Stegostoma tigrinum: one gene and its partner. The protein of the gene in region 1 interacts with the protein of each later gene in a biochemical or structural test. Links are inferred from orthologs where the notes say so. Each region holds a gene or a part of one and is shown on either strand. Other genes may lie near its edges.

The links.
Region 2: the proteins of E3 ubiquitin-protein ligase XIAP-like (region 1) and septin-5-like form a complex in vitro, tested with the Homo sapiens proteins (4 studies listed by BioGRID, with this or other methods). The link is inferred for Stegostoma tigrinum from reciprocal best matches to the Homo sapiens genes XIAP and SEPTIN4.

What each region holds. Positions count from the first base shown.
Region 1 is NC_081368.1:29,300,614-29,305,697, reverse strand, and holds the start of E3 ubiquitin-protein ligase XIAP-like, read right to left. Parts: upstream 3,268-5,084; 5' UTR 3,003-3,267; intron 1-3,002.
Region 2 is NC_081380.1:14,006,791-14,011,874, forward strand, and holds the start of septin-5-like, read right to left. Parts: upstream 3,202-5,084; 5' UTR 3,187-3,201; coding exon 3,151-3,186; intron 2,562-3,150; exon of another isoform or gene 2,472-2,561; intron 1-2,471. UniProt on the Homo sapiens protein: Filament-forming cytoskeletal GTPase. Pro-apoptotic protein involved in LGR5-positive intestinal stem cell and Paneth cell expansion in the intestines, via its interaction with XIAP. May also play a role in the regulation of cell fate in the intestine.

The sequences.
Region 1 (5,084 bases):
TTTCCTCAACTCAAACTCCTTGCCCCAATGATGTAATAAACTTACTGGTCCAAAACCACCATAATCTTGTACAACATTAACATTTGATTTTTCAGATCATCAGGTGGGGCAGAATGTATGTAACTTCAACATTAATTCTTTCAGAATCATTGTTTTAGACAACAATGCCTTCTGCAGCTCAGTCCCTAATCTCCAGAATGTCTTCCCTAAAGGTCACCTTCGATTGTTTTACTACATTAGAGACACTTTGCAAATGCAAAAGCAAAATACTGAAAATCTTGAAAATAATATGCTGGAAATCTTTTAATTCCACTCCCGCACATCCCAGATGTCCAAGTTCTTCAAGGACCGCAACTTTCCCCCCACAGTGATCGAGAACGCCCTTGACTGCGTCTCCCGTATTTCCAGCAAAACATCCCTCACACCCCGCCACCGCCACAACCGCCCTAAGAGGATCCCCCTCATTCTCACACACCACCCCACCAACCTCCAGATACAACGCATCATCCTCCGACACTTCCGCCATCTACAATCCGACCCCACCACCCAAGACATTTTTCCATTCCCACCCCTGTCTGCTTTCCGGAGAGACCACTCTCTCTGTGACTCCCTTGTTTGCTCCACACTACCCTCCAACCCCACCACACCCGGCACCTTCCCCTGCAACCGCAGGAAATGCTACACTTGCCCCCACACCTCCTCCCTCACCCCTATCCCAGGCCCCAAGATGACATTCCACATTAAGCAGAGGTTCACCTGCACATCTGCCAATGTGGTATACTGCATCCACTGTACTCGGTGTGGCTTCCTCTACATTGGGGAAACCAAGCGGAGGCTTGGGGACCGCTTTGCGGAACACCTCCGCTCAGTTCGCAACACACAACTGCAACTCCCCGTAGCAAACCATTTCAACTCCCCCTCCCATTCTTTAGATGACATGTCCATCATGGGCCTCCTGCAGTGCCACAATGATGCCACCCGAAGGTTGCAGGAACAGCAACTCATATTCCGCCTGGGAACCCCTGCAGCCTAATGGTATCAATGTGGACTTCACCAGTTTCAAAATCTCCCCTTGCCCCACCGCATCCCTAAACCAGCCCAGTTCGTCCCCTCCCCCCACTGCACCACACAACCAGCCCAGCTCTTCCCCTCCACCCACTGCATCCCAAAACCAGTCCAACCTGTCTCTGCCTCCCTAACCTGTTCTTCCTTTCACCCATCCCTTCCTCCCACCCCAAGCCGCACCCCCATCTACCTACTAACCTCATCCCACCTCCTTGACCTGTCCGTCTTCCCTGGACTGACCTATCCCCTCCCTACATCTCCACCTATACTCTCTCCACGTATCTTCTTTACTCTCCATCTTCGGTCCGCCTCCCCCCCTCCCTATTTATTCCAGAACCCTCACCCCATCCCCCTCTCTGATGAAGGGTCTAGGCCCGAAACGTCAGCTTTTGTGCTCCTGAGATGCTGCTTGGCCTGCTGTGTTCATCCAGCCTCACATTTTATTATGCTACATATACACATATATTTATATAATAGATCAGTGAAACATTAGAACCTTGGTGACCAGGTAGACAACTTTAAATTGCTATAGTAAATTAGTGTACACATAATGGACATCACGGGTATTGCATTGGAGTTACGGAATATTTACGCAAACAAGTCAAGTTGCACTTCTGTCTGAAACAGTTAGGCTGCATTTTGCGATGTGAGTTTTAATGACTCCCCTGTAGGAAAGGAATAAAAACAGTGAAAAAGGTGGATACATCCACTTCTTCTTTTGTTACAAAAGGTCAGCAGAAACTGTTGTCTAGAGAGAGATAGTTAAGATGGTTGGGTTTATCTTTTTGTTTCAGAAGATCCAATTTAAGACTGATAAGAAAACTCCTCTTGGCTGTCGGGTTTTGTTTAGCCACTATAAAAAGCAGAATTTCTACCACAATCTAATTTTACTTCAGTCAGAAAGCAGGCATGCAGGTTTTAAGTATTTTGCTTTTGGAGTATAATAAATTAAAAGTAGAGATGATTCAAGTGCTTGCAAGTATTCCACGGTGACTCTTGCTGATATTGTATTCTCCGGTCAGGCATTGACTTGCATGGTTACCTGAGCTGCATTAGAAGAATGCCATCTTCTGGTCACAGCTTTGTAGAATACAGAATAGAATTGAATATCCTTTTATTGTCAAGCGTCTTGGAAGTACAAGAGTACACAGAAGTTTTTACAATGGCTGCCACTAAAGGCGCCATCCTCGGTACAAGCACTGAGGTAAAAATTTCATACGGAACAAGAATAAAAGGAATAGTTGTAGCATTACATACAGTGTCTGACAAAATAGGTTAGGAATCAGATCATTATAACATAGTTAAAGAACTCACATTACAGTCAGGTAAAAAAAATTCAAATAGCAGTAACTCAGCATTGTGGTCTGACTGTATGTGCTAAGCGCCTGTCCAATAATTATCCCGCTCTGCTCCAAGTTTCCAGTCCTCTCTGCACCGGCACACAACTGCGCCAAGATAAATTGTGCTGTGCCAGGACTCGTTCCCCTCACGCTGCACCAAGACTTGTTCCCCTCATGTCGCACCAAGACCCGTTGCCCTCACGTTGCACCAGGACCCATTCACCTCACGCTACACCAGGACCCATTCCCCTCACGCTGGACCGGAATCGTTCCCCCCGTCTTGTATCAGGACCCATTCCCCTTGCGCTGTACCAGAACTCGTTCATCTCCTGCTGTACCAGGACTTCTTCATCTTCCGCTGTACCAGGACTTGTTCTCCTCATGTCGCACCAAGACCCATTCCCCTCATGCTGCACCAGGACTTGTTCCCCTCACGCTGCACCAGGACCCATTCCCCTCACGCTGCACCAAGACTTGTTCCCCTCATGTCGCACCAAGACCCGTTGCCCTCACGTTGCACCAGGACCCATTCCCCTCACGCTGGACCGGAATCGTTCCCCCCGTCTTGTATCAGGACCCATTCCCCTTGCGCTGTACCGGAACTCGTTCATCTCCTGCTGTACCAGGACTTCTTCATCTTCCGCTGTACCAGGACTTGGTCATCTCCTGCTGTACCAGGACTTGTTCCTCTCATGTCGCACCAAGACCGGCTCCCCTCGCGCTGTACCAGGACTCGTTCATCTCCCGTCGTGCCAGGATTTGTTAATCTCCCGCTGTACCAGGACTCATTAATCTCCCGCTGTACCGGGACTTGATCCCCTCGCGCTCCACTGGGACCCATTCCCCTAGCGCTGCAACAGGACTCATTCCCCTCATGCTGCACGAGGACCCGTTCTCCTCGTGCTGCACCGGGATTCATTCCCCTTGCAGTGCAGTAGGAATTGTTTCTCTGAAAGCTGCTCCAAGGATTCCAGAGCTCAGAAGCCATCAATTTTGACTAGGTTATTTAAAATTATTTAAACTGGGCACGCTAGGTTGGGTGGCAATACTGCCTATCAGATGGATCTGACGACTGAGTAATGGTCACAGAAGGAAGCATGCTTGTGCAGGAATTGAGGACAAAAAGGGGAAAAGATGGGGAACATGAAAGAATATAAATCTGAATTGTTTTTGTTAGACAGAAGAAGGTTAAGAGGTGACTTAATAGAGACATACAAGATGATCAGAGGATTAGATAGGGTGGACAGTGAGAGCCTTTTTCCTCGGATGGTGATGGTTAGCATGAGGGGACATAACTTTAAATTGAGGCGTGATAGATATAGGACAGAAGTCAGAGGTAGGTTCTTTACTTAGAGTAGTAAGGGCAACAGTAGTAGACTCACCAATTTTGAGGGCATTTAAATGGTCAGTGGATGAACATATGGATGATAATGGAATAGTGTAGGTTAGCTGGGCTTCAGTTTGGTTTCACCTGCGATAGATGCAACATCGAGGGCCAAAGGGCCTATACTACGCTGCGATATTCTATGTTCTATGTTTTCAACCAATATGCCATGAGGACCTGTATAAATTGAGCATAAAATTTTGATTTTCATTACCGATGTACATTATTAAACAATGTTTCATCTCAAACAATATTCTTAATCAAAATTACATCTCAAAACTCATTAAAATTAATCAACGAATTAAAAGTGCAGGATCAGGATTTTTATTCTAAAATGTGAATATTCTGAATGCATACGGCTCAAGGGAAAAATTGAGATGACATAAAAAAGTGGGTGCGCATGGAACTGTTTGCCTCACTTTTAGAGTGCCATGTTACTCAATAGGTTGCAAACTACTGCAGTAGAGAATGACAATATAACAAGTATTCTTGAAATGTGACTACTTCAGAACATGGAGCTAAATTCAGTAGTATAATCTTTTCAAAAGGGATCGAAACAAGGAGAATTTTCGAGCAAGCTTGGCCTGCTGCAACAGTAGAGAATGATCTCTCTTTGATCTTCATTACCAACTTATATCCTTACTTACATAAATCCTTCTATGTGGATTTTAGTTTATTCCTTTAAGTAAGTATAACCATTGCTGAAAATTATTGAATAAACGAACCATTTATCTTGTTGAAAGCAAAACTCTGTGCTGCCAGTTATTTTCACATTGAAACACTTCGTAATAAAAAGGGGGAGTTGAAATGAACTCCATTTCACCAATTTATACTTTACATGTGGGGAGGTAATTGACACTGCCTCCATAAACCCTAACTTGGACCTTTCCTAACTGATATTCCTGCTACTAGAATTACTACACTTTAATCTGATTTTTAACCCTACACTGTGGAAGGCCATTCACTGTATCATATATGCATTATCCAATTAATATCATTCAATTTATTTTCTCATTAGCCCACTGTTTACCTTTCATTTGGCTGCTACATACAATAACAACAGACAATAAGAAATAGGAATAGGAGTAAGACTATTCAGCGCTTGAGCCAGCTCCACCATTCGGTAGGATCATGGCTGATCCAACCCCATTCCTCACATCCACTTTCCTGCACTTTCCCTACAGCCTAGATGCCCCTTCTGATCAAGAATTGATCAATCTCAACGTTAAATATATACATGGACTCTGTTCCCACAGCTCTTTGTGGCAAGGAATTCCAAAGAATCAGGACCATCT
Region 2 (5,084 bases), on another chromosome or scaffold:
TTTATTGTGAATGGTGTTAAGCTTCTTGAGTTGGAACTGCACTCATCCAGGCAAGTGGGGAGTATTCCATCACACTCTTGACTTGTGCCTTGTAGATGGTGGACAGGCTTTGTGGAGTCAGGTGGTGAGTTACTTGCCCCAGTTAACCCAGCTTCTGGCCTGCTCTAGTAGCCACTCCGTTAACGTGGTGAGTCCAATGAGTTTCTGGTCAATGGTAACCCCGAGGATGTTGATAGGAGGGGATTCAGTGATGGTAACATCGTTGAATTTCAAGGGGCTGTAGTTAGATTGTCTCTTATTGGTGGTGGTCATAGCTTCGTATTTATATGGTGTGAATGTCACTTGTCAGCCTAAGCCTGGTTATTGTCCCAATCTTGTTGCATTTGGACATGGGCTACTTCAAAGTCTAAGGAGTCACAAATGGTGTTGCACATTGCACAATCATCAACAAACATCCCCATTTCTGACCTTATGATGGAGAGAAGGTCATTGCTGAAGCAGCTGAAGATGGTTGGGCCTAGGACACTATCCCAAGGATGACAAAAGCAGGTGGCAGTGGGAATGGTGAGGAGGATGTAAAGAGACTTCAGGGTGATTTAGACAAGTTGAGTCAGTAGACAAACACATGGCAGATACAGTATAAAATTCATGAGTGGGAAACAGCAAAAAATTAATTAAATGGTGATAGATTGAGTAGTGTCGATGTACAAAGGGGCTTGGGTGTCCTTGAGCATTGGCCATTGAAAGCCAGCTTACAGATGCAGCCAGCAGTTAGGAAGGGAAATGGTACCTTGGTCTTCTTTGCAAAAGAATTTGAGTACAGGAGCAAGGCAATCTTCCTGCACCTATCCAAGGCCTTGGTGAGTCCACATTTGGATTACTACATTCATCTTTGGTTGTCTCACAGAAAAAAAATAATATAATTACCACAGGGAGGTGTGCGGCAAAAGGATCACCAGACTACTGCCTGGATGAGCAGGTTTGTTGCAAGAAGAAAGGTTGTGTCATCTGGGCCTGTAATTCACTGAGGTTTAGAAGAATTAGGGAAGATTTCATTCAACATGAAAAATTCCAATTTGGTTGGACAGACTGGGTGTAGGGATTATCTCTCTCTTGGTTAGAGATCCAGAACAAGTCACGATCTCAGGATACAAAGTAGACTATTTTGGATTGAGACGAGAAGGAATTTGTGCAGGGTGTGGTGAGCCCGTGGAACTTTGTACCACAAAACTATGCAGGACAAGTCACTGAATATGATTAAGAAAGTAGTTGATAAAATTTCTGGAGGCTAAAGGGGTATGAAGAGGGAATGGGACTAAGGTGTTAAGATGTAAGATCAGCCAAGAACTTGTTGAACGGTTGTCTAGGCTCAAAAGGCCTATTTTACCAATTTTCTGATTTTTATTTAGAAAGCATTGAGGGAGCCAGTGTAGGGAAGTGGGGGAGTCCAGCTGAGGGCCACCCACCCTGTGCTTACACATCCAGTGCCCTTCCCTATGGTCTATGATTTCACCCACTCCCATCTCCAGGAACCCAGCAAAAGCCCTTGGAGAAGGATGCAAAGCATCACAGTCAGTGGCTACTGGCCTTTGATTGTCTGGCAGCACTCAGGCTGGGGTATCTGCCCTTATGAAGGTATGATCTGCAGAATAACCAATGCTGCCCACTTAACTGCCCGATTATGCTTAAATTGCACATGGGGCCCCTGCAGAAGTGGCACAATTTTCCCATCAGATTGTACAAATGGGCTGGACATACGTCACCTACATTCAATTCAATCCCTCATGTATAATTCAGACCCCAGTCTATGTGCAGTGAGACAGAAGCCTGTCTTCATTTATTAAGGAAACACTCAGAGTAGGCACAGAAATACATTAGCTTTCTGATCAGAAGTCAGAACTGGGAAAATTGTAGCACTCCATCTTGTGATTCTCAGTACTGACAAACAGACAGGGGAATTGAAATCTGGGTTTGCTTTCCAACACTATACTTCTCTCAGCGGCTCAGAAGAATACCAATGAAACATTCTAAATTCACTTTCCATATCTCAGACAGCCCATTACAGATTTACACTCAAATCCCTACAGATCAATCAGTGCAAAAAAAAACACTTTATAGACAGAAGAGGTGCATCTCAAATTATCCACGTTAAGTACCATCCTCAGGAGAATATTGCTGTGCTCGTATCACAGTTATTAAACATTGCATCTTCCAGAGATATGCCTGCAATATTATCACTGCTTCATTGCAGAGCACACATTAATCTTTGTAACTAAATAGTTATTATTAGCCTACATACCAATTTTTGTCTATAACATCTATATTATGAATAAACATTTCTTGAATCTTCCAGTAGTATTTAACCCATGTCGAATGCTTATATCACTGAAGCCAACATAAACATTGCTGCATCAGGCGCAATTCCCTCTTGGAGGTAAACTCAACACCACTGTGACAGTTCACATACTTACTAAAAATGTTTTCTAGTTTCTTCTAAAACTCTCCCACAGGCATCAACTTGAACAATGTTCCTCAGCAATGATCACCTTTCATCACATCACCTAAATGACAAGGGATGTTAGCAGACCACTCATCCATTAGAAGGGTTTGTATGACAGATTGATCCTGTTTTCATTCAAAGTTCACACTGGCATGTTTTTTAGCAATGTCAGTCAGTAAAAAGGTAACAACGGTGTAGTGTCTGTGCAAATCTAACACCAAATAGGGCTCCTGGATGTTAAGTGTTGCAGATTCCATTACAATAGCCGATCAATATGTAAGTAGCGTATGAAGTGCAAGCTGATGACTGCACTGACACTGAAGTGTGGATATTCTATGCTTTCTGAATTTACCATAAAGAAGCACACACAGTTCAAACCCTCATGTTACATTAATCAAGTCATAACTGCAACTTTTAAGCTGAAAACTGAAAAATTATCTGCATTACTCACAATCTTTATATCTGCTATTTTACAAGTTAGATTTTTGAATAGCTACAGCTCCATGGCATATAATTAATCTCTAACAGTATAGATAAACAGTCCAAAAGGTTTATCGGGAAGATTACCTGGTCAAAAGGAAGTGTTAATGCCCTTGTTTACCAAGTGACCTAGAGGCAGCTAGCACTGGGAGAAGGAAAAAACCACATACCTCTACAATGCCTGACATCTCTGTGTAACAAGCCATATTCCAAGTCAGTCTCCGTAATAAATCAATGGACACTGAAAAAGCAGTGCCTGCTGGTTCCCTAGTACTGCAATGAGTCACAGCTCTCCCAGCAGATGGTACTACACAGTCTCATTGACATACTCCCACCCATCATCATAACATTGTGCATCCCAACAGCAATAGGGCACAGAAAGCAGGAACACTTGACATCTACCAGTGGTAAAACTGGGATGGAAATATGAATATATATCTGGATACTTTTAGTCTACTGTTGTAGACAAAACAATTGTTTTTAAAGTAACCCTTTAACTACCAAGACTCTCAGCTTTACTTCACACGTTCTCTCAACAGCTACTCATGATTAAAAATGATTTCAAAATAAAACAGATTAAGAGGAGAACAGTTGGTTGCAATGTCAATTGACTATTACTAAATCATCTTAACACAAAATTAAATGCTCACAGAATACGATCGGTCAGAAAACTGTGCTTGGTCAAAACATCTCATGAAGAGCTGGAGAAAACACTGGCATTTGAAATTTTCATTTGGCACAAATCTAGTGTGTGTGTACTGGGTACACCATCAACACCAGTCACCAACTCTTTCCAATTTGTTTAATCTGCTGTGAGAATCAACGAGACAACCGGCCTTTCTACAGACTCAGAAAACCACTCAAAGAAAACTGTTTAGCTCTAATATACGGAAACCACTGAAACTAATAACTTTCACTTCTTTCATTTTACAAGTGTTCATGGCCTCAAAACAACAGCTTCCCTTATTAATCCACAAAATGTGACTATTACTTATTACTGCTCCATTCTGCTCCCTTTCGAAAGTATTGATTGAGAATACACTTTTTTGTTGAGAGTTATTCCTCATTTTGGACACTGCATTTACATTAATGCAACTCAGTAAAGTGCTCTTGCTCCAAGCTGGGAATCAAATTGAATTGTAATCAGAAGGTATTTATGCTACAACTGCAGCATTGGTAAGCGACAACTTTACATTGCGCTTTCAATATTGTAACTGTAAAACATCAGAGTTATACCCATGCTTGAGGGTGGGTACTAATTCAGATTCAGCTTGGATTCAAATTGTAACCTAAAATGTTAAAGCACTTCATAAATGGGCTTAAAAAAAATCAACTGGATTGTTTCTGTAAAGAGATAAGCATCGACAAATGCAAATAATCCACAATGAAAGAAAGACTGAGCCTCAGTAATGTAAAATTAATTGGCTAGCCCAAGGCTTGTTTTTAACATTACATCCCTATCCATCTGAGTGGACTCTGAAGATCAGTTTACAACTGGAACACATTTGAAGAAAAAAAAATGGATAATTCTACATTTGACACAAATATGTAAAACACAGGATCTGAAAGACAATAAGCTGGATCTTGCTGCAGTTGAGCATCTTATTAAATATTTGACTGCATTGTTTAGTTCATAAAGATTTCTGGAAGTGTGACCTCTCAAAGTTGTCATAAGGTCAATAGTATCTAAGATAACTCAATGATATTTGAAGATTGGAAAAGAAATAATAGGTGGGAAAGGAAGGTGCGAAAGAAAAGTAATGAGACAAGATAGTCAGATAACCAAAAATCTACATATAAAAACATATTCAACAAATTATAAACTGCATCAAAAGATGATGTTAATACTTTAGATCTTTTACTTTTTTGGACACAAGAGGTTGATCAGTCTTGCATTATCCAGTGCTGAATTGTTCAAAGTTCTGCGAGAAATAATGCAAACTGCAGATGCTGGAGAATCTGAGAGAGTGTGGAGCCGGATGAACACAGCAGGCCCAGTAGCATCTTAGGAGCAGAAAAGCTGACGTTTCGGGCCGAGAAGCTTCAGAAAAAAAAAGAGGAGGCAGGGGGAAAGAGGGGTCTGAAATAAATAGGGAGTGGATTG